Linked DNA regions of Notamacropus eugenii. The protein of the gene in region 4 interacts with the protein of the main gene of each other region in a pairwise test. Links are inferred from orthologs where the notes say so. Each region holds a gene or a part of one and is shown on either strand. Other genes may lie near its edges.

Region 1 (8,278 bases), on a different chromosome or scaffold from region 4:
TCACTGAGGGGTCCCAGCAAAACTTCTCTTTGGATGCCAGTGACTTAAGAGTGGTGGTCAGCATATAGGGGTACAAAGGCTTCTCTGGACACACACACCCCTGCCCCCAGAGAGGTCAAAACCAGAGGTATGTGATGGCGCACAGTGAGAGGACAAAGGTGAGAGCATTGCCCATTGTCCAGGCCAGCCCCTTCCTCATGTTACAGATAGAGAAACAGTTCCAGGTCACATATCACCTGAATTTGAACCTGGGTCCTCTGGCCTCAGCTCTTTTACTCTTTCCCATGCAGAGCTAAAGCCCGATTGAAGATGGCGAGGGGAAATGGGAGGGCAGTTTTGAACATAATTGTTAGGGTTGATGGGTAGATCTAGACCCTGACAGAAGACCCTGTCTTCCCCTGCTCTTTCCCTTGTTCCCCCTCCCCAACCTGTCTGCCCAGGGACCCAGCTTGGGGTGAAGGGAGGAAAACAGGAGCTTCATCTTTAAGTGACTGCTCTGGGCCAAGCCCTGAGGACACACACAGTAAGGGAAGAGGGATTTTAATAACTTTTAGTGCCCACCCTGGGGAGGGGTGGGCTTTATGGTATGCAGATGGGGAGCGGGAGGGGCCACCCTACAACACCCACCCCACTGCCCTTTGTTTCTATAGGCCTTTCTATTTCAAGATACTTAAACAAGACCTGAAAATACCCCTATCCCCACAGGTCGGTAAAGCCCAGGAGTGGAGCTGGCTGGGTTCTGGGCCTTCACCTGCACTGACTCTGTTAGTGCCCTAGAGAACATCTAGGCCACCCCCTCTTATTACAGATGAGGAAACTGAGGCCAGAGATGTGAAATGTCAAGGCAAATGTCCCATGTAGCCACACTGGTCGTAGCTGCTCTCTGCAGACAGCCTTCAGAGGTTTGCAAAGCATTGTAAATGTCCTAATATTTCTCCCTCTACCACCATAAGGCAGCAACTGTTCTCATCCCAGTGACTGGTCAAGAGAAGGGTAGGTCATGGAGATGGGCAGCATCTTAGTCAGATTAGGTCCCAACAACTCCATTTCCCACTTTCCGTCCATTTGTCTTGACCCCTAAGTAGAAGGTGGCTGTAACCCAAAGCTCTCTGGGGCTCCCCTTCTTCCAGCCTCCTCCCAGAGGGCAGTCCCTTAAAGGTCCTCCCAAAGTGAGTTATGGACATGGTCCTGTCTGCTGAAATTCACATGTTAATAGTAACCAGGGGAGTGAGGCAGGAATCACTGGGCACGTCATCCTAGATATAGTTTAATCACCCCCCCCACACACACACACACTTTCTGCATAGAGCCCCTTTGCGCTCAGTGTGGCAGAATCTCCAAGTTAGGCTTTCCAAATGATCTAAATACCACATGCTATTGAGATGCTTCAGCATCTTGGCCGCCCACCCCCTGCCCCACTTATACCCCTCTACCACCACCCCATCTCCCGGACTCTGTGCACTTCAGCATGGTCATAAGATTTGATGCCTAGAATGTAACCCAAAGAGTATCCTAAGGCTCTGCGACAAGGAGTCTTAGAGGCCACTTATTTGATGCCATCATGTGATCAGACTCCAGGTGGGTTCATGCCTCTTAACAAGACCTAAGACTGCTTTGCCATTCTTGGCTATTCTCACGTTATTGGGTCATTTGGAGCTTAATGTCCACTAAGAACCCCAGATCATTTTCATAGGTTCCCAAGAGCTTTCTGGGCTCACAATGTCCTGAGGTTCTTCTGCCTAGACAAGGTGAGACTTGAGCTAGGTCTCAGTACCAGCAGTACTGGGCTTGATGAGAAGAAAAGGGAGGAGAAAGTGAGGCAGAGTGGAGGGAAGTGGAAGCAAGCAGAGCCTACAGAGATCAGGCATGTTTACAGGCTGGGCCTTCTGGCTTCTAGAAGTTTCATCCCATCGACTCCAGGAGTCAAGAGAGGCTCCAGCTTTGTAGGAGCTGAAGGTGTGCGGGGAACAGTCTCCCTGGGCATCCCAAGAGTTGACTCTGGCTCATTGCCCAAAGGAAGCAGAAGCAGTAGGTGATCCCAGCACCCTGGGACACTAGGCATTTGGAATCCCTCTCTCCCCATGGAAAGAGGAAAAACATGGAGGAGGTGGGGTAGATGGTCCAGCACTCAGGGTCCTGAGCAAACTCAGATGATCACAGGAAGCCAGGACTTGAAGAGGCCACCAGTCTGCCCTCCTTTTACAGAGCTGGTGACTCTGAGACTCAGGAGAAAGGACTCACCTGGGGTCCTACCTCCAGCTCCACCCTAGGCCAACCCACTCCAAGGCCATCAGGCGAGGCAATGCTGTGGGCAGATACAGATTTGTTTTTTAAAAAATAAGTTTTTATTGATGTCAATTTTTGGAATCAGCATAATTTCTCCAGGGGACACAGTGGATAGAGCACTGGGTTTAGAGTCAGGAAGACTCATCTCAATGAGTTCAGATCTGGCCTCAGACACTCACTAGCAGTGTGGTCCTGGGCAAGTCACTTCACCCTGTTTGCCTCAGTTTTCCTCCTCGGTAAGATGAGCTGGAGAAGGAAATGGCAAACCACTTCAGTGTCTTTGCCAAGAAAACCCTAAATGGGGTCACTGAGAACTGGACACACCTGATACGCCTGAACAATTTCTTCCAGTATCCCTTCTCCTGGCCCCACCCAGAGAACCATTCCATGTAACACTATTTTATAAAGACAAAAAAAAGGGGGGGAGGGAATCAGCCTAACTGAGTAATACGTGCAATAAGGTTGACACATGTCGCAGCATCGCCTCTGCAGAGGGGGAGGGGAGGGGAGGGGGCTTCCTGGGCCTCGGCTTGACAACATTCACTTGATTTTGGTGTGCAGTTCTCTCCATTTCTGTTGTAATTGCTGCGTATGCTGTTTTCTTAGCTCTGCCAGCTCGCCTCTGCGTCAGTTCATATAGATGTCCATCTTCCCATGTTTCTCATTTAACATTCCATTCCATGGATGCACCGCACTGTGTTTAGTCATTCCCCATCAGTGGGTACCCACTTTGTTTACAATTCTTTGCTATCACAAAAAGTGCTGCTAGGAATATTTTGGTATATTTGGGGACTTTCTTCTTATCAATGGCCTCCTTGAGGGGGGTCTCATCAATTGACTCTGAGTAAATCAGCCAAACTGATTTAGCTACTGGGAAACTCCAGTAGGAAAGGCACTCACATAACCTTAAGGGGGAATCTGGGAAGGCTTCAAGGAGGAGGTGACCTTTGAACTGCCTGCACAGGGCAGGGTAGGGAGGACATTCCAGGCATGGGGTGCTGATCCTCAGTCTCCTCTGGAAAAGCACCTTGGAAACTGGGTAACGAAGATAGTCATATCCCAATTTTATAGATGAAGAAGCAGGCGCAGAGTTCATTATATGATAGGATCATAGGTAGAGGGAAGGGACCGTAAAACCTCGTACTGCATATGTGGAAACTGAGGCAGAGCGAGTCATACAGATCCAACTTCAAGTCTAGCTTGCTGGGCCCTGCACTGCACTGTCTCTTGATGAGAGGCCACAAGGGGACACCACAGTGCACTGGGCCCTGTGAAGAAAGGGAAGGATTTCATAAAGTCAAGTTCACCTGCATTAATTAAGCCCATTGTGTACTAAGCCCTGAGCTAAACACAGGATGATACAAAGAGAGAGTTTTTAAAGAACCCCAGCCCCTGCCCTCGGGGAGCTACCACTCTAAGGGTGGAGACCATGTGAATAAACAAGCTACATACAGGCTATATTAGAGACCACCCCAGAGGGAAGGTCCAAGATTAAAGACCATGGAGAGATGTTTCCTGGAGAAGGAAGCCAGAGGGTGGAGATAAGGAGAGTGTCTGTGGCATGGGGGACAATGCCTGGAGTCGGGAGATGGAGAGGCTTGTTCAAGGAACAGCAGGTGAATGGAGACATCAGAAAGGAGGAGTGGCCAGTGCCTGTGACCAGTCAGGAGGGAACATCGAGGAGTCCAGCTTGGTCGGAGTATCGAGTCTGTGACCAGGACTTATAGGCTTACAAAGTCAGAGCTGAAAGTGACCTCAGAGGTCAACTCATTCAGCCCCTCCTATGAGAGGCAGTGACTGAGCTGGGTCTTGTGGATGTCGGTTCACTCTAATTTCCTAACCCTCATTTCTGTCCCAAAGCATCATGGGCAGCCTTAAGAAAAAGGTAGTGACCTCCCCATCACTGGAAGTCTCTGAGCAAAATTTGTATGCCTCAAGGAATGCGGTGCTGGACTGGGTGCCTCTGAGAATCGTTTGGAAACTTGCAAATAGGATTTTCAAGGGCAAACGGGAGGAATCCAGGCCGGTGCATACCAAGCCATTTCCCCTCATGTGGGGTGGGAGCCTCCAATTTCCCAGACAGAACCTTGGACTCCCAGAGCTAGTTGTGGGGAGAGCATCTCCTCTGACCCCATCAAACCTTTTGTACACTCAAACTTGCTCATCCTCCTCTTGGGCCCCTTTGAAGTCCCCCCCACCCCCAGCTCCATAGAGAGTTACCAGCCAGGCAGAGACCAGGACTCACACCTCTAGCTGCTGTAACCATGGGGGGGACAGCTCAGAGAGCAGGGACAGACCAGACAGACCAGGGTCCCAGGCTAGGCAGAAGTATAACCCAAACAAAAAGATCCCTATTTCAGGGAGAGGGTGTGGGAGCTAGAGGGGACCTTAAGTGATCATCTTGTCTGATTCCCTTATTATACAGGTGGGGAAACTGAGATCCAGAGAGAGGAAGGCCCTGACCCTAGACTGCAAGGGTTCTTTAGCCACCACTTAGACACAGGACGGTGCCATGGGAAACCCTGGGAGTCAGAGGAGCTGGGCTCAAATACTGGCTCCTCCGCTTACTGCTCATGACCTCCTCTGAGTCTGAGTTTCCTCCTTTGGCTGTCAATCTCCTGAGCTGAGGGTGTGCCTACTATGTAAGACCCCATTCAAGGAGATAGAGAGCAGGTTCCGGTCAGATGCTGCCCTCACAAAAGTTACAGTACAGGCTACTACAAATGGCCAGACACACAGCAAGACATTATGACATGATCAGGGAGGACAGTTGCCCCGAGGTGCTTTCAGGGGCCAGAGTGCTCTCAGAAGCCAGGGTCTCACAGGCCAGGTAACCATGCCTCCCCAGAGGCCTGTTGGTCTCCATAGTGATGATCCAGGACCAGGCTTGTAGAAGTTCTGAAATAGGGGGATGGGGCAGAAGAATACTTTGCTAAGAACCCATCAACAGTCAATTCTGGCTGCCTCTGTGGTGAAACCTAACCAGGATGCCCGAGTCCGGGTCCCTTCAGCCTCATCTGAAAAGGGAACAGCCACTGGACTGCTGGGACTCCTTTCTGGGGTGCCTTTGGCCCACCAAGTATGTGGCTTCTAACTGCCAAGACCCTAGAGCTTGGAGACAGGATGCCTGGTCCACGGAGGCGCAGGGGGAGGAGTGGCAGAGGGTCCCCTAAGGGTTAAGGGCTCTTTAAGGCAGGGAGGATCTGTGACAGTCTCTTCTTCTGAGAAAATCCAGGGATCTCTAGGTCCTGTGGCTTCCCATGTGTATGATGAGGTAATTCACATGGGCAGAATGAGTCAGAAGGCCCAGGATGTCATTGTCTCCCAGACCTAAGATTCTGCTTGACTGTAAGAAGGCTCTTCCCCTTTCTGGACATCAGCCGCTGACGGGACTCGTCTCTCCTCGCCTGTGGGATGCAGGGCACATGCTGTTCTGGTCTGTGCTGGGCAGGGATGCTGGCTATTCACTGGGGCTCCGTCATTCCCCCCTCTAGAGTGCTTTTGGGAGTGGAGATGGGGTGCTGATCCAAGGCCGACCTCGGGCCCGGAGTGCTGGGAATACCAGAAAGAAAGACGCATCTAACAAAGGCAAGAAGAGGAATGAGCCCTCTGAGGCTGAAGAGTGAGTAACTGGGGGTGCAGGGAGGTGACCCGGGGCTCTGGGAGGCTGACATTCTGACTGGCGCTTCTCTCCCCATCCCCAGCCTCATCCCACCACCTCCTCGGAAGCCCTCCTTCCCGTTCCAGTGGGCCTGGGAGAGCTTCTTGGTGGATGGCCGGAGCCTGCCCCTGCCTTCCTCCAATTCTTCCCACCAGACCCAACAACCTCAGGGGGCCCCCCAGAAGGCCCAGAGGGCCAAGACCTCAGCCTTGCCCCCTGCCAGGGCTCCCCAGAAATCCCGGTTGAAGGCCATGCCCCCATCTGCCCAGCCGGCCAACTTCCCACTCTACTGGAAGATGGAGGCCCGAAGTCAGGACATGAAGAGGCAGTTGAAAACCTGGCTTCACTCTGAGCTGGACAGCCAAGAGAGCCAGGACAGCCAGGATTATCAGGATGGCCAGGAGCTGGAAGGGCAAGAACAGGATGGCAGGGAGGAGGAGTGGCCTGAGGGCAGGAGGGAACTCACCACCTGGCCCTCTTTTCTGTCTTCCAAGGAAAGGTTGGGGTTCCAAGCAAAATGGGCCCAAAGGCTAAGGATGGTGGGGGGAGCCCAGGGTGAGGGGAGGTAACTACAGCTGGGTGGGGGCAGCAGAGGGAGAGGAGAGAGTGGACAGGGCCTTCAAGAAGTTCATCTGTTCCCTGCCTGTGCCCAGGAGCAGAGAAGATGAGAGAGGCCAGCTGAGGAAGTGGAAAGCCCTCCATCTGGCTGGTTTCGCCCTCCTCAGAGGATTCCAGAGGAAGTCGGCAAAGTCCAAGGACCCAGAGAAGCTCTTAGATATGGAAATTCTGCAGAAACACTTACAGGAAGATGAACTCTACAGTAAGTCATGCCCCCTGCCAATGACTCCCAAGCCCTCTCTGGCCTTCAGCTCACTTGTCAAAGGAGGAGTTTGGGGTTCTTCTGTTTGTACTGTGTCAGTGGATAGAATGAGCAGCCCATTAGCCAGAATAAACATTAAAATCAGAATTTGCCAGGCAGCACCCCCCACTTCACTTTATACTAGGGGGTCCCTCCCCAGCCTGGCCTTCCCACTCCCAGAAGTAGCCTCCTGGTTTCCCACAGTCTCTGGCCAGTGTCCTGAGTTAGAGGCTCTCCTCTTCACCACTTATTGGGATTGGTCTCAAAAAGTTGAACTGAGAACCTTTCGTGCTGCTTGCTTTGAGAGCTATGACTTCGAGTTATGGCCCTGACACCCAGGATCTCTGACTCCAAACCCAGGGATATCCCCTACCAGGCTGCACCACCTGCTTAAGAAAGCAGAGATATATGGGCAACATTGTGGGATTATGTCCATTCCAAAGGTTATTGTGCTTAAGAGGCCAGCCTCAGTTACCTGCATACCTCCCTTACTTAGAACCTCCTGGCCCCTCTGCACTGGGGTAAGGCATTGGGGGAGGATGGGGAGTGAGGAGGGGTTCCTGACTTCTCTTCCTCTGTTGTCAGACTCCCAGTGGCCAATTCAGGATACCACCCATCCTCAAGGCGAGAAGGTACAGGCCTGGGAGGATGTCAAGCCCTTCCTGACAACTGGTGGCACCACCAGAACCTTCCAGATGCGACGAGAGGCCACCAGGTACCTGTCCCCCACCCCCATCCCCTACCCTGGGCTGGGGGTGCCTTCCCCTAGATCATTCCTTCACTGGCTGTCTAGACTTTTCACTGGTTGGTCCATCAACAGGTTCAGGTTATACACAGAGGTATAATACGCCCACAGTGGCGGTTCCTACATCACTGAATCACAGACTCACTTTCTACCACCTGTCATCTATAATACATAGGTACACATGCATACACACACACACACACACACACACACACATGCAGAGTGAAAAGACAATAGTGTAGACAGAGATGGAAGAGACCTTCTACCCTCTCATCTCATAATTAAGGAAATTGAACCCTAGAGACCTAGAGTAACTTGTCCAAGGTCACCTAGCCAGGTCCTAAACCCTAAAAATCCCAAGCCCTTCTGGGGCGGAGGTTGGGCCCATTAGCAGTCCCTTGATGGACATCCAAAAGCTGCACCAGGGTCATGATGCTGTGGCTAGAGGCCTCAGAATTCTGAAGGAATTCACTTGGTGGGCTCTGCAACCAAAGCAAAGCTCACATGATGAGCTAGAACTGCTGGGCTGGGGGACCCCCTGCACCTGAGGAAAGCAGACAGCAGGGCAGAAGGAAACGAAGACTGTCCTGAGCCCAGTCCAGTTCCCATCTCAGACCCTTAGTGGCTCACAATAGGTTTGGTCCTTGTGCCCCAGTGCTGAGCAGCCCCACTGGACTTCATTAGAACATGGTGATGGTGGAAGCCTGTTTCCCCATCTGTAAAATGG
Region 2 (7,870 bases), on a different chromosome or scaffold from region 4:
CCCCCAAGCACCAGTATCTCCTCAGCAGTGGGGTACCGCTTCTTTCCAGGGCCAGGGAGCTGGGGTTCAGGAGGGGCAGGGGCTGCAGGGGGCCCAGAGCGCCTGGGGTTAACTGTGAAGGTGTGTCCACTGCGGCGTGGGGCCCCTACCCCAGGCCCAGGTTTCACTCCATAGAACAGGCGACTCATCAGCGGGTCCCCTGGGGGCTGAGGAGTTGGTGGGGCAGGGGGTAGGGGAGATACTGAAGGTGGTGGTGGGGGCTGAGGTTCTGCTGCTTCCTCTTCCTGCAGCCCTGAGCCTCCGGCCCCAACTTCCTCAGGTGGTGAGGGGGAGGTTACAGAGTAGTGGCTTCTAAGGGAGCTCACCATCCTGCCTCCATCCCCAGCTTCCTCTACAGCAGCCCCTATCCTCCCTTCTTCGGCCTTCAGTGTAGGCAACAGCAACTTCTGATCTCCAGAGTCTGAAGGTGCTGTCTTCTGCCCTTCAGCCTCCGATCTCCCAGGGCTCCATTCTCGAGCCTTCCCAGAGTTCAGTCTCCATTTCCTTACTTCTAACTGTCTAGAACTCTTCTCTACATCCTCTCCTGAATTCAACCTCATTTCTGCTGCCTCCATTACCCCTGGGCTTCGTTCTCGAAACTCACCAGGACTTAACCTACATCTTTGTGTCTCTAAAAGTCCTGAGTTCTCCCTGGATTTCCTCTGCATTAGTCTCTGTTCTGTCCCCGATTCCCCTGATCTCCCTTTGCTTTCTTCTCCTGGGTTGATCCTCCATTCTCGAGCCTCCAACGGCTCTGGACTCTGTTCCAAGACTTCTCTGGAATTCATCCTCCATTTGTGTATCTCTGTCATCCCCAGCCTCAGTTCTCCACGCTCTCCACGGTCTCCTGAGCTCAGTCTACATTCTCCCATTTCAGATGCCCCAGAGGTCTGTTCTTGAGGTTCTGCTGGATTCACATTTCGTTTTCGAGCTTCCCCAGGGCTTTTCTTCCATTTCCGTGACTCTGAAAGGCTGGAGCTCCTCTCCTCAGTCTCCCTTGGGCTCAATCTCCATTCCAAGGCCTCTGCAGGCCTAAGGCTTTGCTCTGGAACTTCTGCTACCCCCAGCTTCCTATCTCCAGACTCCCCCAGGCTCAGCCTCTGCTCTCTTGACTCTTTTCCCACCAGACTCTGTTCCTGAGCCTCTGCCATGCTGGGTCTCTGCTCTCGGGCTTCCCCTCTCCCTGAAATGTGTCCTCGACCCTCAGGTGGCCTCCGATCAGTGAGCTGCTCTTCCACACCTTGCTGCTGCTGCTGCTTTAGCTCTTGGCGTTCTTGGCGGATGAAGCGATTCTGGTGGACAGGTCCAATGGCCTCTAGAAGGACCACAGGCTCATCGAGTTCAGGAGGTGCTGCATCTGTAGCCTCATTCCCAGGACCTGGTTCCCCCACTGGCACTCCTAGCTTGGCACGGCGTCGCTCCAATAGTCCCCGTTTCCAAGCTGGCATCTGGGCCAGTCGATCCTTCTCAGCCTGCTCCCGGCCTCGAACAGCAGCCTCTTCTTGTCTTCGCCTGGCTAGTAGTTGTAACTTCCAATCTGGGACAGTAGCCATGGTCCCAGTGGGGCAAGAGAACTGGAGGGGAGGAGATGGAGCAACGTCAGGGAGAAGAAAGAAGTAAGAGAACTGGAGAATGAAAGTACTGGTGGGGCAGAGGGAGAGGAAATGTGGCGGAGAGTTTGTGTGGGAAGACAAAGTAGAAGAAAGGAAGAGAGAATCCCCTGGAAAGAGGGAAAGACAGGAAGACTAGGAAAGGGAAGAGAACTGCTAGAAAAGAATGAAAAGAAAGGGAGAATCAGAAGAAATACTGAGGAACTGAACAGAAGAAAAGTAGGGGGAGGGAAGAGACTGAGTGATACAATGGAGGGGAAGAAAGCTGGGAGGGAGAAAGGGAGAAAAAAGCAAGATAGAATATTGGGGTATGGTGGAGGATGACAGAATATTTTAGATGAGAGAAGAGAAAAAAGAAGAGAAGACAGTTTGGAGAAGAACCAGGGGAAGGAACCAAGTGGGTGGCTAAAGGGGGAGATGTGGAGGTTAGGGGAACTCCTGACGTGGGGGGTGAAAAAGCGAAGCCATGGTGTTGGGGGGAGGGAGGATGGACACGGAAAAGGGGAGAGGTAAGGGTGCACCAAAGGGATAGGGGAAAGGGTAAGAAGGGGATAAGGAGAGAGGGGAGGAGGGAACTGTGCAGCAGACCTGCCAGTCACAGCGTGGGCCCTAGCGGACTCTAGCTTCCCCTCCAACCTCTCACCAGCCACGCCCCTCCAGTCCCGGGCCACCCCCTCCTCCCCCCACCGGGCCTACGCACCCCGCCTCTTGGGGCGGGTCTGGGAAAAGACAGTACCCGGGGACTTTTGGAAACCAGGCGGCCGAGCACCCAACCCCTTCTCAGAACCCAGATGTCCACTCCTCCCCCTCGCCCATAGCCCTCCTCCCAGTCCGGGGACCCAGATAACCAGCTCTGGTCTGTCCAGCCCTCTTCACCTCAGTTAGGCACCTAGGTGTCCTCCCCCGTCGCCCTCCAGAGTCCCCTGTCACTCTGACCCTGGGAGCGAGATGTTGCGGTCCCTAGCCTCTCTCGCACTCTACTCCTACTCGCTACACAAAGAAAATCTCCCAGGCAGAAGAAAGAGTGGAGGGGAAAAGGGTGGCGGCCGAAGGTGATGAGGGTGGGGACATCTATCCTCGGAGTCTGAACCCCCCCTCCCAACTCACGTACTGGCAGGGTCCCACGGGGGAGGGAGGGGGTTCGAGGTCGAGAAAGCGTCTGGAGAGGGAGAGAAGGAAGAGAAAGAAAGGGAGCGAGGCAGAGTTGGAGATGGGAGGGAGGGAGGGAGGAAGGAGGGAAGGAGGAGGAGAGATAGACCCAAACCAAGGGGGGCCGGGCTGGGGGCGGCGACCGCTTTGTCTGAGGACAATGGGGAGAGAGAAGGGGGCGAGAGGCGGAACTGGCTTCAAGGGGCGGGGCCTCCCGCCCCCAGGACCCCCTAGCTGGCTCTTCTCTGGAAAGCACTCCCAGACGCGCAACCCCCAAGCTCACCGCTCTCATTCCTCTCTGGGACCCAAGTATCCTGATCCTCAACCTCCAGCTGCCTCACTCTCCTTCGGCCGTTCTGCCCTGCGGGACCCAGGTGTCCTTTGCACTCAACTTCTCCCGGGACTCTCCACCCCCCACCCCCAATCTTTCCTCCCTCCTCTTTCCCCCTCCCAAAGCCCCGGTCCAGGGCGGTGGCCCGTGACTCAGGCCCCTAGGGGGGCCCAGGGAGGAAGCAGCAGCTGCTGGGAGCCGTCCTGCCCAGCCCATCTCCCGCCCTCCTCCCTTCTTAGCTCCCAGAGCTTTATTTTTGTAGGGTCGCTGGTCAAGACTGCCGGGTTGGGAGTGGGGACTGAAAGTGATTGGGGGTAGGGGTGGAGCGGGTCTAAGATCAAAGTCGGCGGGATGGGTGGAGACTCCTGCATGCTTGGCTTTGATTTGGTTAGGGACTGGGCTTCCACCTTTCAAATCAGCGGTCTACTCAACCCTGAGATCATCCAGGTGTTGGCAGGCGGGATTGCTAGCGGAAGAAGTAACTATGCCCCCTTCCTGAAGGTGGGAGACTGGGGCATCCTCAAAATGATAGAAGGCAGGACCTTGAGGAATGGCCGAAGCATAGTGGCCACTGGAGGGAACAGTAGCTGTAGTTACTGCAAGCATTTGCTTTCTTTCCACCCGTCATCCCCACCCCCTACTTTGTAGCTGCTGAGACAGTTGGTCTTAGGCCTATCACTCTACTCTGCCCCTCCCTGTTTCAATTCTCCCTTCCATTCTCTAAGGATCCGGAACCAGCTAACTGTCCAGACCAGAGATAAACACTTGTGACCTTAAGAGGCACGTAAAGAAGACATAATATTTGGATTTATTGGCCAGCTTCTTACATGTTCTTTGGGAAACATGAAGGCACTGAGGTGGGGAGTGAAGAGGTTCTTTCCCCGTCCTCCCAACATTTGCTTCAAGGACATAGAGCCTAAGTGGTGAGGGAGAAATTTTAAAAGGAACCTCAAGGACGCTGAGGGAAAGGCTGGACAATGGGGGATAGAGAACTAAGGAAAGGTACTTCAGTCTGGAGGCTGGAAAACAATTCTGTTCTGGGGTAGGTGAAGATATAAAGGAAAAGGAGGGGTCCCTGAGAATGGGGCTGGGGATCAGTGATAGTAGACTGATCAGGGCCAACCTCTTCCCCTAGGATTTGGAGAGGAAAATAGGCAGAAAGAGGTCTCTAGTTGGGGACAAGCCCAAAATCCTCATTCCTCCTTCAGTACCTCATCTCTCTTTCTAGATTGCATTGAGGGGTCCTTAGGTAGGGGAGTGGGATCCTGGATTAAGGGATACTAAATCTAGAATTTGAGTATGGGCTCCAAGTCAAGGAGCTAGCTGTATACCATATCTAGAGAACCCTGCTGAAGTTCACAGGGAGAGAAACTTGGAGTCTAGGAGGTAGAGCTGGGAATTCAAGAGAGACAGAGTTTGGGGGTGGGGGGGAGGCATCAAAGGACCTAGAAGCATACAGCCCCAAGCTTCAAGGGGTGGCCTCTCAAGTTAGAGTAGGTGTGGAAACCTCAGATTCTGGAGTGGAACTTGGAATCCAGAAGACAGATTCTCTAGGATAACTCTTAGATTTCAGGGAACAGAACTTTGAATGGGGAGTCAGGGCTTTAGAGTCTAGGGACAATAGTTTCATCCTAGGGACTAGATTTCACTTTCACTCAGCATCTACATCTTGGGGCCCAGCAAGTAACTGAAGCTTTCTTTGAAGCTGGGCACGGAGGTAGCGCAAGTCTTGCTGGTCTAGCCCATGTGCCAGGCCCAGGTAGAGGGTGAGCAGTGCAGCCAAGAGGATTCTGTCAAGGCCCAGTCGGGGCACAGCCCACAGCACTGTCAGGAGCTCCACACACACAGGATGTCTCAAGTGCTCAAAGAGTCTCAGTGCCCTAGGGGACTTCAGAGCCAATGGCTCCCCCAGCCCCAGCACATGGTAATATACCTATGGGAGAGGGATGGAAGGACATTAGATCAGAAATTGAATCATTATATCCCTTTGCCTCTAATTCTACTCCCTCAATTCCTTATAAAAGGCTGTCTCTGCTCATCTTCCAAGGTTACCTCTTCCATTTCTCCAAGGATATAAATCTAATCCTCCTTCAATCCTTGGGACTAAGGTCTCCCCTTTGAGCCTAACTCTTGGCTCTTGACTCTCCTACAAATCCATGGGAGCTACCATTTCTAGATTCTGGGGGAGGAGTATGAGATCATGGCTCCATGGTGGGGGGGAAAGAAAGGTAACTGGTAGACCGAGGTGAGGGTGGAGCAAAAACTTGTGAAGATTGGTTAGGGATGGGGAGATTGAAGGTGATTCAAGTCTTAGAAGAGATAAAGAATGATGTCCAAAGGTTAGAGGCCCAGGAACTGGAAATTACCTGTTTGAGGCCCATGAGTTCAGGATAGTCAAAAACCAAGAGGATACTAAAAATGAGAAGCCACGCTATGATGTGCATCACGAAGCAGAGAAGGGGTACCCAGGTCACCCAGGGCTCTGACTGTGCTTCCCAGAGAACTGGGCCCTCTGGCACTGGCTCCCAATAACGCATTATCACCTGAAAGAAACAGATAGGGGATAGCTAGATTCAACTCCCCTTGGAGATGTAATCATTTAATATGTTGAGGGGAGGCTCCCCCCTCACCTCCCACAATGCCACAATACACACACACACACACACACACACATCTCTAGCTCCCTGATGGCTTTTACTTCTAATAATTCATGCAGGGTGCTCCAAGACTGGTTTTCAAACCCTTATTAACAAACACAAATGTTTTTTGATGTCCACTATATGTAGGATGCCATGTTAGGTGACGGAATTACAAGCAAGTATTAGATCATGCTTTATTTATTTTTCTTAAGCCTCAGAAGTGGGGGGTAGATATCTCTCACTGCTACTCTAAAATCCTATCTGGATCTCAGACCTTGCAATCAATCAACAGCATTTATTAAGGGCCTACTACATGCCAGGCACAGGCAACAATGAAAGTCTCGTCCATGAGACTCCTATTCTATAGGAGTGAGAAGTACATATAAAATAAATACAAGGGGCTCAGGAAAGGTCTCATGTAGGAGATGTGCTTGAGCTGAGCTTCAAAGGAAAAAAAAGATTCTAGGAGGCATAGGGGAGGAAGCATGGGGTGGGGGTAGGTGGGAGGGGAAAGTTTGTGCAGAAGTCCAGAGATGGGAGGCAGAATTTTGTGTGTGGGGGGGGGTGGGGTGGGGGGGATTGGGAGTAAAAGAAAGACAGAGAGAGAAGGCCAGGCTAGACAGACATAAGCATATGAAGGACAACAATGTAAAATAAGAGTTGGAAAGGTAAGTTGGAACCAGACTGAGCAGGGGCTCTAAATGCTAAACAGGGAATTTCATATTTGATCCTAGAGGTAGTAGGGAACCACTGAAATTTATTGAGCAGGCTAGTCCTGTACTCTAGGAATATCACTGGCACAGTGTGGAAGCACACAGGAGAGAATAAATGTTTTAGCATATTTATAAGATGTATGATCACTGCCCTAGAGGAGCTTACAATTTGGTTACAATATGTATCTAGAGATAAATAATAAAGCAACATATAATTATCAGGCATATATATATCATATGTGATAAAGGTCTATGGCAATATGTCATATTAGAAAAAGGACCTCAAAAGAGGGAGGAGATCAACAATAAAACTATGGTCATTGGTAAAGACTTCTTTGAGGAACTAGGAGATGAAGATCAGGCCTTAAAGGCATATGCAGGTTTTGGAAAAGAGAGGAGGTGGTAGGCATTCCAAGCAGGGGGGAATGGGGAGGAAAAAAGAAGGGGGTATGTTTGGGAAACAATGGGCCTACTCAGTCTACAGTAGGGAAGTAGTGGGAGCTGCAGTTAGAGAGTTTAGTGATTAGAATGTGCAGAGGTTTGAATGCTTCCAGCTCATTCTCTGTTAATTCTCAGTTTACTCAGGAACCCAGGCATCTGGCACCCTCATCCCCAGGCTTTCCTTTCCCCAGACCCTACTTCTCTTGGGGACCTAGCTGTCTAGTCCCCATACCTGCAGGGCCAGGGCAGTGCAGGCCACATAGAGTGACCTCTGTAGGACCCCAAAGCGCTGGGCCATCCATGTCTTCACAGGCTCTGTTGCCATAAGACTGTGCTGCCCCATGAATAACAGCACCAGTCCCAGGTCCTGGGCTAGAGCTGCCAAGATGCCAGGGTCCTGTAGGGCAGTCAGCCATTCCTGTCGAGAATCTTAGGATGGGGGGAGACAGGATATCAAAAGGACAGGGAAAGATCACCGTTATTCTAAATATCTCCTTTGAATCTCAGGCCATGTCCCCTAATTCCTGATGTCACTCAGAGAACCTGTCTAGACCATGCCCCTATTACTCTCCATTCCCCATGATGTGGCTTTACTTCCCATCTCCAGCAATTCCCTTAGGGCTAATATATAGAAAAGGAGTTTTAAGTGATGCTGGCTGAACCTTTCAGAAAGAAGTTGACTGAGAAGAGGATTTGGGAGTTTCTGAGAAGTCTTTTAGATCAAGAGGTTGTTAGTGCCCAGAGGCTTGAAAAACCCCAACCCAAACCTATTCACTTCTGCTCCACCTGTGAGGAAAAAGAAGTCAAACCTAGGAGTTAGGAGAGACTTGAGTTCAAATTATGCCTCTGATGCTTACTAGCTTTGTGACCATACAGGGGCAAACCATCTAGACTGAACCTTCTGTCTCACAAGATCAATTTAGTTCGTAACTTAAAAGCTGTGTTAGT
Region 3 (7,747 bases), on a different chromosome or scaffold from region 4:
TAAAGGGATATTTGTAACTACAATATACAGGGCCAGTGAGTTTTAAAATCTTTCTGGTTACTTCCACTTTGCAAGTCTGGGAGTATTCAGTTACCTTTAAGTCAACTTTCCTCTAGTGTTATAAAGAGACAAGACAAGGAGCTCTGGCCACTTGGAAGAGCAGTGGCCAGTTGAGGAAGAGTTGCCTTGACTCCTAAATGAGTCAGCAAGAGGGGGAGAATGAAACACAAACATGGCATACATTCACATACGTCTTTCTTTCTCTGTCTCTCTCTCTCTTTGTCTCTCTCACACACATATGCACACACACAGGATAATGATGACATGCCATTAAATTCAAATCCAAATGTTTCTATTCAATCAAAACCAATATTAACCTTTGCAAATGATATATATTAATCTTCAGAAGACCTATATAAAAGAAGTCCCTTGACCTCTGAGGTCCCTTGCTGCTCTAGATTTATGAGCCTATAAGCTTTATATAATCAGGTAATGTGTTTTTATTTCCCTGTTCAGATATCATCAATATCATCCATGCTTCCACTCTTCAAAGATCTCAGATTCCCTCAACATAGATGGTGTTCTACCACCTCCTGCACCCCATTATGCCTTAGGTAACAGTCTTTGATTACAGCTTCACTGGATCACAGAGCTGGAAAGAACTTCAGCACCTGAGTCATCCAATCAGTAGCTGAGCAAAAATTCCCCTTTATGACATATCCTCCGTGAGGTCATCTAGCCTAGGCTTGAAGCCTTGCAGTAATTTCTTAACCTCCAGCCCAATCTATTTTTGGACAGCTCTAATGGTTAAGTTTTCTTTATATTGACCTGCCTCTTTGTAACTTTGTAATTTCTGTCCACTATTCCTACTCATGCCCTCATCTGCAGCCAAACAGAACAAGTTGCATTCAGGCTCAGATGGTCCTTTGTATATTTGAAGATAACTATCAAATCGTCCCTCCTCTGGGCCTTCTTCAACATAACAGTATCATGATAACAATGTGGCACCAATAACTGGTACCCTAAATGTGGTATGACCAGGGCAGAGGACAAAGAGAAGCCACCACCTCACTAGCCCATATACTACTCTCCTTTTAGTGAGGCTTAACACCGTATTAGCTATCATACTGTTGACTCCTAGTTGAATTTGCAGTCCACTAAAATGCCCAGATCTTTTTCACAAGACTTGCCCCTACCTTATGTCTTTGAGATCTATTGTGGCCAAAAATGGAATCACTTTGTGTGGCCAAATTGTTGATGAACCTTGTGGTGTAGTGGAAAGAGTGATAGATTTGCAATAGGAGATTGTGGGTTCTAATTTTGGTTATGACACTATCTGAGTGACCTCAGGCAAGTCATTTAATCTCCTTGGGCCTCAGTTGCTTCATCAGTAAAATCTATGATCCTATTATCCAATAATGAAGGGGTCTGCCTGCCAAATCTCTGCTGATTGGACCTGTCATGAGTATCATCTCCATTTGGGAACCAAGGTCCCCTCCATATTGGAATCAGACTTCAGTGGGGTTTTCTATCATAAGATGAAAGTCTGATGATTTTCTGCCTCTTATTTAAAATACAGTGGAATGAAATACTACACAGGAGTGAAGGGGCAAGTACATCAGTGTCTACAGCCCTGAGAGAGCCACCCCAAATAAAACGTCTGGGTGAACTTCAAGTGGGGCTCTAAATCAGGTCAATCAGCAACAGTTAGCCAATATGCATTTATTAAGCACTTACTATGTGCTAAGACATCTTGCTGAGCAATAGAAAGACAAATACATGCAAAGAGAAGGGAACCATTCCTGAGTAATGAGTCCCTTGTCTAGACCCTACAACACAGTGTTCATCCCTAGCTCAAGACCCTTTCACATCTCTTTTCCACTGCCTATCCCAGCAAATCTGAAGAGATCACAGGGGATTGAAGATGTGAGCTGAAAAGGACTTAGAACTCATTTTTGAGGCTCAGAGAGCTGAGGTCACTTGTCCCAGGTAACAGATAATAAATGGCAGATAGAGGATATGAACCCAAGTCCTCCTCTAAATCCTACACTCTTTATGCAGGCATTAAGGAAAGGGAAAAGATGGTCACTGTTTTTCCAACACAGAGATTACACCCAAGCTGGGTACTCTGGCTACCTCTGTGCAGCGGATCTCTGGAAATAATTTCTGCCATGGCAAACCTACAATTTATCTTAATTTTTCTGATGTTCGACTGTGTCACTGCTGATTCATTCCATCATCTCAGAATTATTGGCTAATATGATGGCCTGGCGCACTGTTCCGGCTGGCGCCTTCATTCTTCAGACGAAACCAACCATTTATATCTATGCGGATGTGTCTCTACAATTTAATTACAACATGACTTTCCTCTTCCCTCCCCTCCCAGTCTTACCCTCCTTGGCTAGTCTATTCAAACAACAATTTATATTACATTTTGTGTCCCCCTTAAAAATATGGTCGAGAGGAGACACCTACCTGAGACAGCTGCCCGGAGCCCTGATAAGGCTTAAGAGCCTCGCTGGGATGAATATCGAAGCTCTTGTTGACGGGCATCTTAATACTTGTTCAGGGTCGAAGCCCTAAGGTCCCCTGGGGCCAGAGGCCAGCCAGTGGCTGGGGGAAAGTCTGGGGGAAGGGGGGGGGGGGAGAAAGGGGGAGGAAGGATAACCCAGTTCCTCTGCTCTCTTTCAGTTCACAGTCTCTGGAACCTCAAACCAGTTGGTAACCAGTGTGAATGGGATGGGAGTATGAGAAATAGGTATAGAGAAATATATATTGTATGTAGATATATACATGTGATATATGTATACATGTAAATGAAGTTGAAGGAAAGTAATTAGAAATGTCTTATAGGAAAATAACAAAGGATTCCTGCTCTGTCTTCTCAAGGGATTTGTGTTTTTCTCTCATTTACAAAGAAAAGTAAAAGAGAAAGTGGGGGAAAGGTTAGAGATAAAAAGGAAAGGAAACGAAAATGGGGGTTGGTAGCTAAATAAAATCTCCCTTGAGCTGAGAGTTTCCCGAGTCCCAACTTGGGTAGACAAGTCAGGCCCGTGGATCACTACCCGTTAGGATGAATTCCCTTCCCGAAACTGGACTTTCGGGACGTCTCTCTCCCCAAACCTTCCTCTTTCCCTCAGGGAACCACGCAGCTTGATTGCAGAGGCCGCGGCTTCAGCCGGAGTGCACCTCGGTTGCTCCCAGCAACAGAGACGCCATCTGGGGCTTTCTCATTGGCCAGTGGGGCGGGGGCGATGCCGGCCACGCAGCAGGGAGGGTGGAGGGGTCCATTAGAGGACGGGGGAGGGCCAGGACGTTCTGCTTGGCTGCAGAGGTCTGTCTGTTCTTTCCGAGGCAACCCAAGGCGGGCATTGTTGCTTGGACCTCCCTGTCCACAGAGAAAGAGCTATTTACAGGATCCTAGACTCAGAGCTGAAAGGGAGCCCAGAGGCCATGAGTCCTATCTCCTCATTTTACAGAGAAAGAAACTGAGGCAAAGTCACCCGGGGAGTGAGAGGATTTGTCTGACCAAGGTTAAAAATACTTTTTAAAACACCCAGTGCAAGCGATCTCATTAAGCCTCTACTTGAATAAAAATAGCTCATTTATATGTATATATATGAGTGTGTGAGTGTGTGTGTGTTCACATGCATACATACATATACACACATATCACTTCAAGGTTTGCGAAGGGCTTTACCTTGCTATCCCACGTGTGGGAGAATCTTGTGACGGAGACAAAAGCTGTTATTATCCCGATTGTCAGCGTCAGGAAATAAGATTCAAAGAAGGTAAGGGACTTTGTTCGGGATCACACACCTGATAAATATGTGAGGCTGGATTTGTAATCAGGACTTCCTGAATTCAAGTTCAGAAGCACCACCTAGCTATACCACAGTGTAGATATCCAGGGATGGGAGGCTCTCCACTTCTGGACAGCTCTGATATTCAGAAGGTTTACCTTCCCTCCGGCTCCAAATTGTCACTCCTTAGGTTTCATCCTTTACTACTGGTTCTGGCCTTCAGGGCCAAGCAGAAAAAACCTAATGTGGGCCCATGTTACTGTCCTAAAATCAAATTCATATCATCATGTAGACAACTGAATTATATTTAACACGCAATCTTGGTGTGGGAGTCCGGAGACCTGATTTAGATACTAAATCACTGAGTGATCTTGGGCAAACCACTTTCCTTCTCTGAGGCCAGGATGTTCATCCACATAATCCTGTTTACCACATAGATTTTTGAGCCTCCTTGTTGTTTCCCCTAGAAGACTCTCCATCTCATGACCAGGTGTTTTCTCTGGCTGTCCCAGAATGCTTGGAACTCTGACCCTCCTTTGTCTCCTGGCTTCTCTGGCTTCCTCCAAGTCCCAACTAAAGACTCAGCTTCTACAGGAACCCTTGCCCCATTTCCTTTAATGTTAGTGTCTTTTCCTCCCAGATTATCTGCAATTTATCATGCCTATGTCTTGTTTGTCTACAATTGTTTCCATGTTGTTTTCCCCATTAGACAGGAAAAAAGCTGGGACTTTTTTGTTTTTCTCTGTATTCCTGGCATGTAGTTGGTGCTTAATAAATGCTTGTTGATTGAGACTGCTATGATAATGTAAAATGCTTAACCATCTAGGCACGTGTGTAGTCTATTATCAATTCTAAGGCGTGAATCGATTATTTAGGCAGCTAGTGGGGCAGTGGATAGAATGCTTGACCAAGAGGCAAGAAGCCCTGAATTCAAATTTGACCTCAAACACTTACTGGTTGTGTGACCCTGGTAAGTCACTTATTCTCTGCTTCAGTTTCCTTATCTGTAAAATGAAAATGAAAAGATACTTTGCTCATATATAGTGCTTATAAAGTGCTATATAAATCTTATATAGTGTTTATAAATATTTTATGTATATATATACATACATATGTGTGTTTCTATATGTACTATTTCAGAGTTCCGTAATACTTATTACTGGGGGGAGGAAGGAGTGAATTTAGACATCATTCTCATTTTACAGAGGAGGAAACTGAGGCACAGGGAAAAGATGTTACTTGCCCAAAGGCATTTATTGATTTAGGGCCAGGGTTAAGATTAGAATTCCAGCCTCTTGACTCCTAGCCTCAGTATTAGGACTCGAAAATCTTAGTTTATTTGTGTAAAGTATGAAGCTTGGGAACTGGAAATACAAACTCCCTCCTCTTCTTTTCCATTTGCTTAAATAAAGCATCAGAAGGAATTAAAAATAAACCTATCAAGTTGAAAAATATTTCTGGAATATGTTGGACACCAGCTGGGATAGCTAAAGAGAGATTTAGAAATCTGGTAAACACAACCAATTCAGTCAATGGTACATATGTTCAGCATTAAAATCCTATCGGAAGGACATTATTTTCACAAGTCCCATAATATGCTTTGCCGTGTGGCATCTTGAACCCAGAGATTTCTGTCTGGAGGATTTTACAGAAATGCCAGTTTGGGCTTTACAAATTACAGGGCCCACGGCAAGGCTCAGACTTGGGGTTCCCTTGATATCAGCTAGTTGGCAATCTCTAGATGAATCCGTGCCAGTAATAAATACCATTGGATAATGGGCATTTTCACTACCTAAAAGGATTAAGAGGTGTAAAAGGATTAACGACTGAATCCTGCTGTGTACACCCTGGAGGTTGTAGGCTCTGAGGACACCAAGTCCCACTCTCCTCCCCCCAGTCTGCCCGAGTGATAATAATGATAATCACAACTTACTGGTGGAGTTACTTCCAAGACTTTCATATCCATTATCTAAAGCTAAAAGCAATAATAATAACAAATAATGTTAGTGAGCATCATTTCTATACCACTTTAAAATTTGCCAAGTGCTTTACAAATTTAATCTCATTTGATCCTAGGTGGAGCAGTGGATAGAGCACTGGACTTGGAATCGGGAAGACTCATATTCATGAGTTCAAATTCAACCTCAGGCACTTCCTAGCTGTGTGACTCTGGGCAAGTCACTTCACTGTTTGCCTCAGTTTCTTCACCTGTAACAAATGGCAAACCACTCCAATATCTTCACCAAGAAAGCCCTAAATGGGGTCATGAAGAGTTGGACATGAGTGAATAACAACAACAAAATCCTAGAAAGTAGATCTCTATTTTACCGACAAGGAAATGTAGGCTGAAAGGGGTAAGTGGCCTTTACAAGCTTATGTAACTAATAAGTAGTTAAAATAGGATTTGAACTCAGAAAGTCCTCAGTGCAGGCCTAGTACTCTACTATTTGCGCTAGGTGCCCATAACTACTAACACATAGTAGACACTTAAAATACTCATTGACTGACTGACAAATTCAGTAAGCACATGTTAAATACCTACATATAATATATATATTTATAAAGTATGCTTATATATGTATACTATTATATATGATAGACACATATATGTAACATGTATACATATGTATATATACAAACACACTCATACATTGATAATCATTTAATATCGTTTTAAGGGTCAGGCTGAACTAATCAATCAGAAGGACTTGGATGGAAGAGCGTCTTTGCTCTCTTAAGCAAACTCAGAGAAATACCTCTTCCTATGTCAATAAAGCCAGATGGGGCTGACTTCAGAGAATTTTCCTCTGTTTATGGACATTAAGAATGAGACCCTTAAGCAGACACTACCTTGAATAATGGAATTTTTTCTTATCTTAATTTTTTTTGGCATATACTATGTTATGGCACATTAATGATAAAGAGAACACAGATATCCTGGGTCATAAGAATTGACACTTTTTTAACTCTTATTTTATTGTATTTACCACCTATTCAATTAAGAAAATTCCTTTCTTATAATATAGTTAAGCATATATGGAGATCAGAAATTTGAGTGACATAGACACCCTGGGCTGGGATTGTTCTAAAATATATTTAAGCTTGGTCATTCTATTATCAGATAGCCAGAAATTATGTTTGAATTCCATGAAGCATGGGTCTGCTAGCTTTAAGGGAATTAACAATATGAATTTATTGTGTATGTTTATATGTATGTATATATATATGTATATCTAGCTAGGTATCTTTATATCTCTCTAAATGTCATCCATTTACCTTTCTACCTATCTATTCATCTAGCTTCCATCTATTTATCTGTCTCTATCTCTCCACCCACCTACCCACCCACCCATCCATCCATCTATCCATCTAATCTGTCTATTGATTTCTCATTTCTGTGAGAATGTAATCCTTGAGAATAGGGAGTGTTTCATCATTTGCATTTTCAGCACCCACTGCTTGGCACAAAGTAAGTGATTCATTTGTTTGTTGATTGGTTAATTGAATGCACCTTGCTAGGCACTGGAGTTAAAAAGATAAAGTGAAATCCATTCCCTGCCCTCAAGTAGATTCTGTTCTGTTATCTCATTTTACACTCATAATGGTCCTGTGGGATAAGGTGAGCAGAGATAATTTACCAAAACAGAACGAATTCCCTTCCCCTCTCTGCTTCCCTCACTATTCCCTATGCCTGGAATGCACTCCTTCCTCTTCTCTGCTTCTGAAATTCCTGGAATCCTTCAAGGTTCTCAGCTCAGTTGTTGTGGTCTCTGTGGAAACTTCTCTTATCAATCCCACATCCCCAAGTAGTAATGTTTTTTCCTCCTCAAATTATTTTGCATTTCATAATCCGCATATATGTTGTCCTCTTTCCCCTCACTCCAAAGTAGAACGTAAATGTCTTGAAGATAGAGACTTCCATTTTTATCTTTCTAGCCTTGTTG
Region 4 (7,791 bases):
AACTTTCTAGATTTTAAAAAGGTATTTGCTATAGTCTTCAAAATTATTTTTAGAAGAAAAGATGCTCTTCTAAAGAACATTTCTAGGGCTGAAAGTCTGAGTTCTCTTCTCTTAGGTCCCAGTCAATTTTGTATTAATCAAGGACAAAAAAAAAATAAAGAATCTTCTAGTATACCTTTGGTACTTGCTTAAGCTCTGTCTCTTCCAAAATTCTCTTTTATCTTTCTCTGAGATGCGGGAGAGCCCTAATTACATTATTTCCCCACTCCCAGACCCTCATCTCAGTTTCCCTAATGCACACCTTCACATAAAAGTCACTTTCAGGGCAAAATCACAGGCTCATGATCTTGTTCTCAATGTTATATTGTGATTTCATTGGCTCTGCAGGGCCCTAAAGCTTGTTATCAGTCTGAACATAGTCAGATCAATGACAATCTGGGTCAGGTTTCTGATTGGTCTCTCCAAAGCAAAAATTAGGAAAAGAAATCAATTTTTTAAACTTGCTCTTCCTAACGATTTTAATTGACAGACACAAAAGCCCAAATGGCTTTATACATTAGCATTGAAATCTTTAGAAAAGGGCTTACACATATAATGAGACATACTTATGTAATCTTCTAGACCAGTAATTCCCAACATTTTTTTGTTCCATGAACCCCTTTCAACAACAACAAAAATGTTTTGAATCCCCAAGGTAATTTAATATACTACTCATAATATTCTTCACAACTATTTAGTGCTTAAGGAATCATTAAAAAAAATTTGAATGCAAACTCCTTGGATCATTGTTAAGAACCTGGATTCATGAACAACCCAAGGGGAACCATTATTGTAGACATTGTACTTATCTCTCCACTTACAGAAATAGTCCTCTAATTTATTACAGTATTGGGTCTGGTCAACTGACACCAGGCATCCCTGTTTCCCTATTTTTGACTTTAATAATATAGTTTGCTGGCAGTTACAAAATAGCCAAACCTGAGTTTCATAAAATACCTTCAACTCAATCATACCTTTTACCTAAGACTCCACATAAAACATTTGCTGAAACCAGACACAAAATATCTAAATCTAGAAGTGTTAGACAAAAATTATAAGACAAAGAAGTTTTTTGCACCCCACTCAACTGTCTGTGCTATTTTATATCAAAGGCAACAACCAGTTTTATATTTGATAGAGAAAATAATGAAATGCTTAATGACTATTGGTTATGTTATTTTGTAAGCAAATAAAAATAATTACACTGCTGTCTAATCTGTCACTGATGTCTCCAAAAATTAAAAGAGACTATGGCATATTCAAGTTTTAAAAGTCAGATCCTGAATGTTGGAAAGAATTACAAGTTACAAGTATTTCACTGAAATAAAGATCTAGTATATTTCCAAAAAGACTACATAAAAAGTATATGTAACAATTCTTCAGTTGTCCTTTGCAAAACTTTATTTTATCCATCTTTAATTACTATTGGAAAAGCACAGTAGCTCCTGAGTCAAGAAGGCCTGAGTTCAAGTTCTTACATCTCTAATGCAAACTATCTGTATCAAAATCACTTAACCTTTCAGTGACATGCAGGTAACTAAGTTTATACGTCACAGAGTAAGTGTTCAGCTGCATTAATAAGCAGTTTCCACGCAGGGAGTTCCCTATACCAACGAACTCACATTTCTGGGACCCCCGAAAAAATGGTATCTTTCCTTTCCATTTTATTTTTTATATTCTTCTTTGCTTCTGTAACCAAAGTGAAATCTGTCACACAAAGTAAAAGAAAAAATTTGATCCACACAAACCCACAATTAGTAATAATACAAACTGTTGTGCATCTTATCTGTTGTCTTTTGCCAAGTATCACCTGTTGAATATTTGTTCTCCTGATGATTGCAAGTCAGTCAACAATCCCTGCATAGAACTGGTCACGGTGATGCCTGATGAGATACACTCAGAGCAGGATTGTACAAGTGTGTGGTTTGTAGGGTTTGTATTTCACTGTCTAGCCAGCAAAATACCTAATCTGATTAATCATTAAAAGTGATGAAAAGGAACCAGAAAGTCCTTCTTTTATCTGAATCCACTTTTAGTTGAGTTACTTTAACTAGCAAGGAATATTACTAAATTTCCAAAAATAGCCTCTAAAAAATGTTATCAAAAATTTTTGAAAACCTTGTAAGTTCTGAATTCTGTTTCTACCACTATCATGGTAACAGTCAAATAATTTTTACCCGACTTTGCGACTTATTGAACAATATCTGTTTCATTTAATTCTCCTAAATGCTTTGCACTGTTATCTGCTTTATGCCTCAAGTATTCTTCCCACGGTTGAAATGCTGTCTAAAACTATCCTATACCATCTTAAGAGAGGACCTCAAGCTAGACGTGATCACCCCTTCTGGCACGCTTTTGTTTTGAGGAAGAAATGTTCTTAGCTCTTCTCTCAGCTTCCCCCTAGAGGCCTCGGTGATCACTTTACATTCTAACCAATGAGCAGGTATTTTTAAATGTACTTGCATAACAGTGAGTATGGGTTTCTTCTGGTATCCTGCCAGACACACTTATTCCCCGTTTGTATTTAAAATAGAACGGTAGTACCATCACTCTCATGTGCCAGAAATCCCTTCTGTGCATATCCTCCAAGCTAAATCGTATGTATGTATGAAAAATAAAATAGGTCTCATTATAAAGTTCAAAGGACTTAGCATGACCATGCTAAATTAAGAGTACGGCGGCAGACTGTAGCATCCCAGGCCGGGAGGACACTCCAGTCTTGGAACTAACCTATCCCACCCTTAGGAAATCCTTGTGTTACCCAAACAGTCAGCACGTGTGTGCCCCATATAGCCATATATGCTTCGCAATCGCCGACACCATTCAAGAGGGAATCAAAAAGCTCCTGCATCTCAGTTATCTGCATGCGGGGTGCACAGGGCAATTCTTCTTGCAAAGGGGAAGGGAGGAGGTGCCTTATTTCGGGGTGGGGGGAATGGGAAATGCCTACTATGGTCTAAACTGTTCCCTCCCACACCCATGAACGTGGGAGCCAGGGCCAAAAATAAAGACACAGCCCAGAAGATCCCCATCGGTTACCCTAGTCTTAGCAATTCCAGAAGGAAGCGAGGAAGATGTCCAAAACTAAGCGCACGACGACACTTAATTAGGCTGTAGCCAAAAGCTAGGACCCGGACCCCCATCTCCAAGTGTTTTCCAGTAGTTGGGGGCTGGAAGGAGGCGCGGGGTCTTGCTGAGGGTCCGAAGTTTCGGAGGGGGAAAAGGTCATTGCGGGTGCCCAGGCAGAAAGAACTTGCCAAGCGGTCCAGGAAAGGAGGGGCGAGCCGGGAGAGGGAAAGGAATGGAGCCACACCTGGGCTGCACTTCCAACAACTGTCACCACCAAACACCTCCCACGCATCCCACACGCAGATGCCGAGCGGAGGCAGCAGCAATCTCGCAGCCGCCCTAGCGTCAGCCCGACTCCCCACCTAGGACTCACCTGTCCGCGGGTACCCCCCGAGGAAGCTGCGGCCGCTCGACACGGGTCTCCAGGCGCGCGGCGCAGAGCCCGGGAGAAGGGGCGCAGAGCGGTGGAGGGTTCCGAGGATGCACCTGGTGCCGCAGCAGCAGCAGCAGCAGCAACTCCCCCTCCTTTCTTCCCTCCCTCCTTCCTTTCCCCGGACAAAGAGAAGCAGCGGTAGAGGTGGAGGCGGCGGCTGTGAAGCCGGCGCCTGGAAACGTGCGGCGGAGCCGGTGTCTCTCGCTCCAGATTTACTGCCCTCCCTTACAGCTTGGGGAGCGGGCGGGAGGGAGCGGGAGGCGTGCACACCCCCACAACGCGGCAGCAAGCACGGAAAGCAGAGGGCGCCTCCAGCCACCCAGCGGTGCCCAGGGCTTGCTGTCGGCTGCAGCCGCAAGCCTGGAGATGAGCGAACAGCGCCCTCTGCAGCCCCCAAACCCCCGGCGATGGAAGCGTCGGGAACAGCGGCCCCCCAGGTACTTTGTGTTTTTTAACCCAGGCACCTAAAAGCATGGGCGTTTTCATTCGCACCTCTTAAGCGCTTGGGGATCCTGGCCTGGCCCTCTGAACTGCAGAATATTTGTGTCCCGACAAAGGAGAAAATAATAGAGGCTCTCCTAGTCAGGCTGTGTATGCAAGTGTATCACTATCTAGGATGTCAATATCAACTGTAATTAACATTTAGGATAGAAGAGGCGGTAAGTTTAAATGCTAACCAGAAGAATTTAGATTTGGCACTAGGAAGAACTTTAGACTAAGGTTTATGAGAGGCAGGAACGTTCAGTGAAAGGATGACTTGTAGTATTATTAAATATTGTTAATAATACTGTGTTTTATTCTGCGTTCCTCCTTCGTTTTCGAAGAAGACCATGACATCAGAGAAATAACGACGTGACTTGCACTTGACTTTGTTTTGAGTGAGGGAGGGCTGTGCATACTTTATGCCTCTAGGAAAATATAGGAAGAATTATGTGTATATTCTTTTCTTAAGCAGCTAAAGATGCTTACACCTCATCTGGAATACTGTGCTTAGTTCCAGGCATTACATTCTAAGCATCTGCTTAGGAAAAGAGTACACAGGTTTTCCTACTATGAGACATAAGTCCCTCTGCAATAATCCAAAGGGTCATAGCAACATAGATTTAGGGATGGAAAGGATCTTAAAAGTCCAACCCTCTCATTTTGCACATGAGGAAACTGAGGCCCAAGAGGAGAAGTGAACCACCCAAGGTTATAGCAGTGATAAGGAGCTCACCCAGATTTTTAGTTGATTCAAAATCCAGTATTCTTTTCACTCCACTACCATCATCTCAACCTTCTCCTTTTAGCTGGCAGGGCTAGGAACACAATATGGCCACACTACTCAGTTTCTATTTTTGAACCGTTCTATAAAGTCATTTCTAATATTAAGCCAAAAACCTGACTCCCTATAATATCCAGATTCTGTTCTCTGGATCCAAGCAGAATCTCCTTTTACCTAAGCTTTAAATATTTGAAAATAGTCACCATGTCACCTCTGAAATCTAAATGGTCCCCAGTTCTTCCAGGACATATTTTCAAATCTCTTCCCCATTTTAGTTGCCTTCCTCTGAATCCAATTCATTTTGTCAATGTTCCCCTTAGAATATTATACTTAGAACTGTATTCCAGATAAATTCTAACAAGGGACAAGACCACTGAGCTGACAGCTCCAACTTTCTGCACAATAGAATTCTATTATTACCTTTCACACCTTTTGCTTGACACAGTACCCCTATTTACTCATCGACCTGACTAAACCCCTCCATGTAAAACAATTTTAACAATCATTTTTTAAAACTTTGAGTTCCAATTCTTTTCTTCCCCCCACCCTGTTCCCTCCTTCTTTCTTGAGAAGGCAATTTGTCATGGATAATACATGTGAAGTCATGTAAAACATATTTCCATTAGTCATGTTACAAAAGAAAAGACAAAAATAAAACAAGAAAAATAACGTGAAAAGGGGTATGCTTTGATCTATATTCAGAGTTCATCATTTTTCTCTCTGGATGTGGACAGCACTTTTCCTCACAGGCCCCTTGAAATTGTCTTAATCAGAGTTGTGAAGTCTTTCTGATACTATGCACAATGTTCTCCTGGTTCTGCTCACTTCACTTTGCATGAATTCATTCATGTAAGTCTTCCCAGACCTGGTAACTGTATTGTTGAGTCAGAGATTACACAGTTTTATAACTCTTTGAACATAGTTCCTGTTGCTCTCCAGAATGATTGATTAGATTAGTTTGCAACTCTACCAACAGTGCATTAGTGTCCCAGTATTTCCACTTCCCCTCCAGCATTTGTCATGTACCTTTTATTTCATATTAACCAATCCAATAGGTATGAGGTAGTTCTTCAGAGTGGTCTGAACTTTTATTTTTTTAATCAGTAGGGATTTAGAGCATTTTTTTCTTCTGAAAACTGCTTGTTCACATTCTTTGACCATTTATCAACTGGGGAATGGTTCTTATTTTGTTGAATTTGATTCAGTTCTAGTTCTCTATATATTTGAGAAATGAGGCCTTTATTTAAAAAAATGCTGTAAATTTTCCCTCAATTTCCTGTTTTCCTTCTAAATTTGGCTGCATTAGTTTTACTTTGTGCAAAAGCTTTTAATTTCATGTAATCAAAATTATTTATTTTACTTCCCGTGATCCTTTCTATCTCTTGTTTGGTCATAAACTCTCCCTTTATCCATAGATCTAACAGGTACATATTTCCATGCTTCCCTAATTTACCTTATATCACCTTTATGTCTAAATCATTTATTCACTTTGGTTTTGTTTATGTATATAGTATTAATGTTGGTCTGTGCCTAGTTTCGGCCAAACTGCATTCCAGTTTTCCCAACAATTTTTGTCAAATAGCGAGTTCTTGTCCCCAAATCTTGGATCTTTGGGTTTATCAAACAATAGATTATTATGGTTATTTACTTCTCTGTATTTGTACCTAATCTATTCCTCCTATCCACCACTCTGTTTCTTAGCTAGTATCAGATTATTTTGATGATTACTGCTTTGTAATATAGTATGAAATATGGAACTGCTAGGCTGACTTCCTTTACATTTTTTTCATTAATATGATATTCTTGATCTTTTGTTTTTCCAGATGAATTTTTATTCATTCATTATTTTTCTAGCTCTATAAAATGATTCTTTGGTAGTTTGATTGGTGTGACACTGCATAAGTAAATTAATTTAGATAGAATTATCATTTTTATTCTGTTGGCTCAGTCTACCCATGAGCAGCTGATATTTCTCCAATTGTTTAGATCCGTCTTTATTTGTATAAAAATATTTTATAATTGTGTTCATATAATCCCTTCATTTCTCTTGGCATGTAGACTACCGAGTATGTTATATTGTCCGAAGTTATGTTAAATGGAATTTCTCTTTCTGTGTCTTGCTGCTGGACTTTATTGGTAGTGTATAGAAACAGTGATGATTTATGTGAGTTTATTTTATAGCCTTTAACCTTGCTGAAGTTGCTAATAGTTTCGACTAATTTTAGTTGATTTTCTAGGATTCTCTAAACATACCATCTGCATAATGATACCATATGATATGATGCCATAATGATATGATACCATATCATCTGCAAAGAGTGATAGTTTTGTTCCTTCATTGCTTAGTTTTATTCCTTCAATTTCTTCTTCTTATCTTAGTGTTTCTAGTACATATTGAATAATAGCAGTGACAATGGACATCTTTGCTTCACCCCTGATTTTATCGTGAAGTCTTCAAGTTTATCCCCATTACTGATAATGCTTACTCTTGGTTTTAGATAAATACTACTTATTTTAAGAAAAGGTTCATTTATCCCTATGCTTTCTATTGCTTTTAATAGGAATGGGTGGACCCTCAGCTCTTTTTTAAATGATCTGCTGTCAGGCCAAAAGTATTCATTCCTATGCTTGTGGAATTAGTGTTTTTGAAACCAAGTATAATTCTTTACATTTATTCCCAATAAATTTCATCCTAATGGATTTATTCACTCATTTCTATCTACCAAGATTTTTTTAGGATTCTGATTTTGTCATAGAGTATATTACCTGACCTTTCTCAACTTGGAAATAAGGGATTCAATTCATTTAAATATTAATTAAGTGGAACTTTGTGCCCAGCATCTTGATGGGCACTAAATTGTTTTGCCTGCACAACTCCATGGTACTCTCACTTGATAGTGCTTTTACTTCCAGCCATATTCCATAACTAGAAAGCTCCTAATTTCTCTGGAAAGAATGAACCTGGGTCTGGAGAAAAACAGATGAA

What was found.
Region 1: the proteins of MTUS2 (region 4) and TSGA10IP interact in binary tests that used the Homo sapiens proteins (3 or more experiments, as listed by UniProt). The two-hybrid records come from large-scale screens. The link is inferred for Notamacropus eugenii from reciprocal best matches to the Homo sapiens genes MTUS2 and TSGA10IP.
Region 2: the proteins of MTUS2 (region 4) and PPP1R18 interact in binary tests that used the Homo sapiens proteins (3 or more experiments, as listed by UniProt). The two-hybrid records come from large-scale screens. The link is inferred for Notamacropus eugenii from reciprocal best matches to the Homo sapiens genes MTUS2 and PPP1R18.
Region 3: the proteins of MTUS2 (region 4) and CCDC60 interact in binary tests that used the Homo sapiens proteins (3 or more experiments, as listed by UniProt). The two-hybrid records come from large-scale screens. The link is inferred for Notamacropus eugenii from reciprocal best matches to the Homo sapiens genes MTUS2 and CCDC60.

What each region holds. Positions count from the first base shown.
Region 1 is NC_092873.1:18,636,253-18,644,530, forward strand, and holds the start of TSGA10IP (testis-specific protein 10-interacting protein), read left to right. Parts: upstream 1-5,182; 5' UTR 5,183-5,197; coding exon 5,198-5,365; intron 5,366-5,780; coding exon 5,781-5,908; intron 5,909-5,990; coding exon 5,991-6,446; intron 6,447-6,600; coding exon 6,601-6,767; intron 6,768-7,391; coding exon 7,392-7,521; intron 7,522-8,278.
Region 2 is NC_092873.1:84,556,460-84,564,329, forward strand, and holds the start of PPP1R18 (phostensin), read right to left. Parts: upstream 3,174-7,870; 5' UTR 3,091-3,173; coding exon 3,082-3,090; intron 2,843-3,081; exon of another isoform or gene 2,757-2,842; intron 2,545-2,756; exon of another isoform or gene 2,526-2,544; intron 1,614-2,525; coding exon 1-1,613. Other genes in the region: NRM (nurim), read right to left, coding at 4,781-5,062, 5,496-5,672, 7,155-7,351.
Region 3 is NC_092875.1:25,967,561-25,975,307, forward strand, and holds the start of CCDC60 (coiled-coil domain-containing protein 60), read right to left. Parts: upstream 3,196-7,747; 5' UTR 2,554-3,195; coding exon 2,476-2,553; intron 1-2,475.
Region 4 is NC_092876.1:197,081,926-197,089,716, reverse strand, and holds the start of MTUS2 (microtubule-associated tumor suppressor candidate 2), read right to left. Parts: upstream 3,572-7,791; 5' UTR 3,482-3,571; intron 1-3,481. UniProt on the Homo sapiens protein: Binds microtubules. Together with MAPRE1 may target the microtubule depolymerase KIF2C to the plus-end of microtubules. May regulate the dynamics of microtubules at their growing distal tip.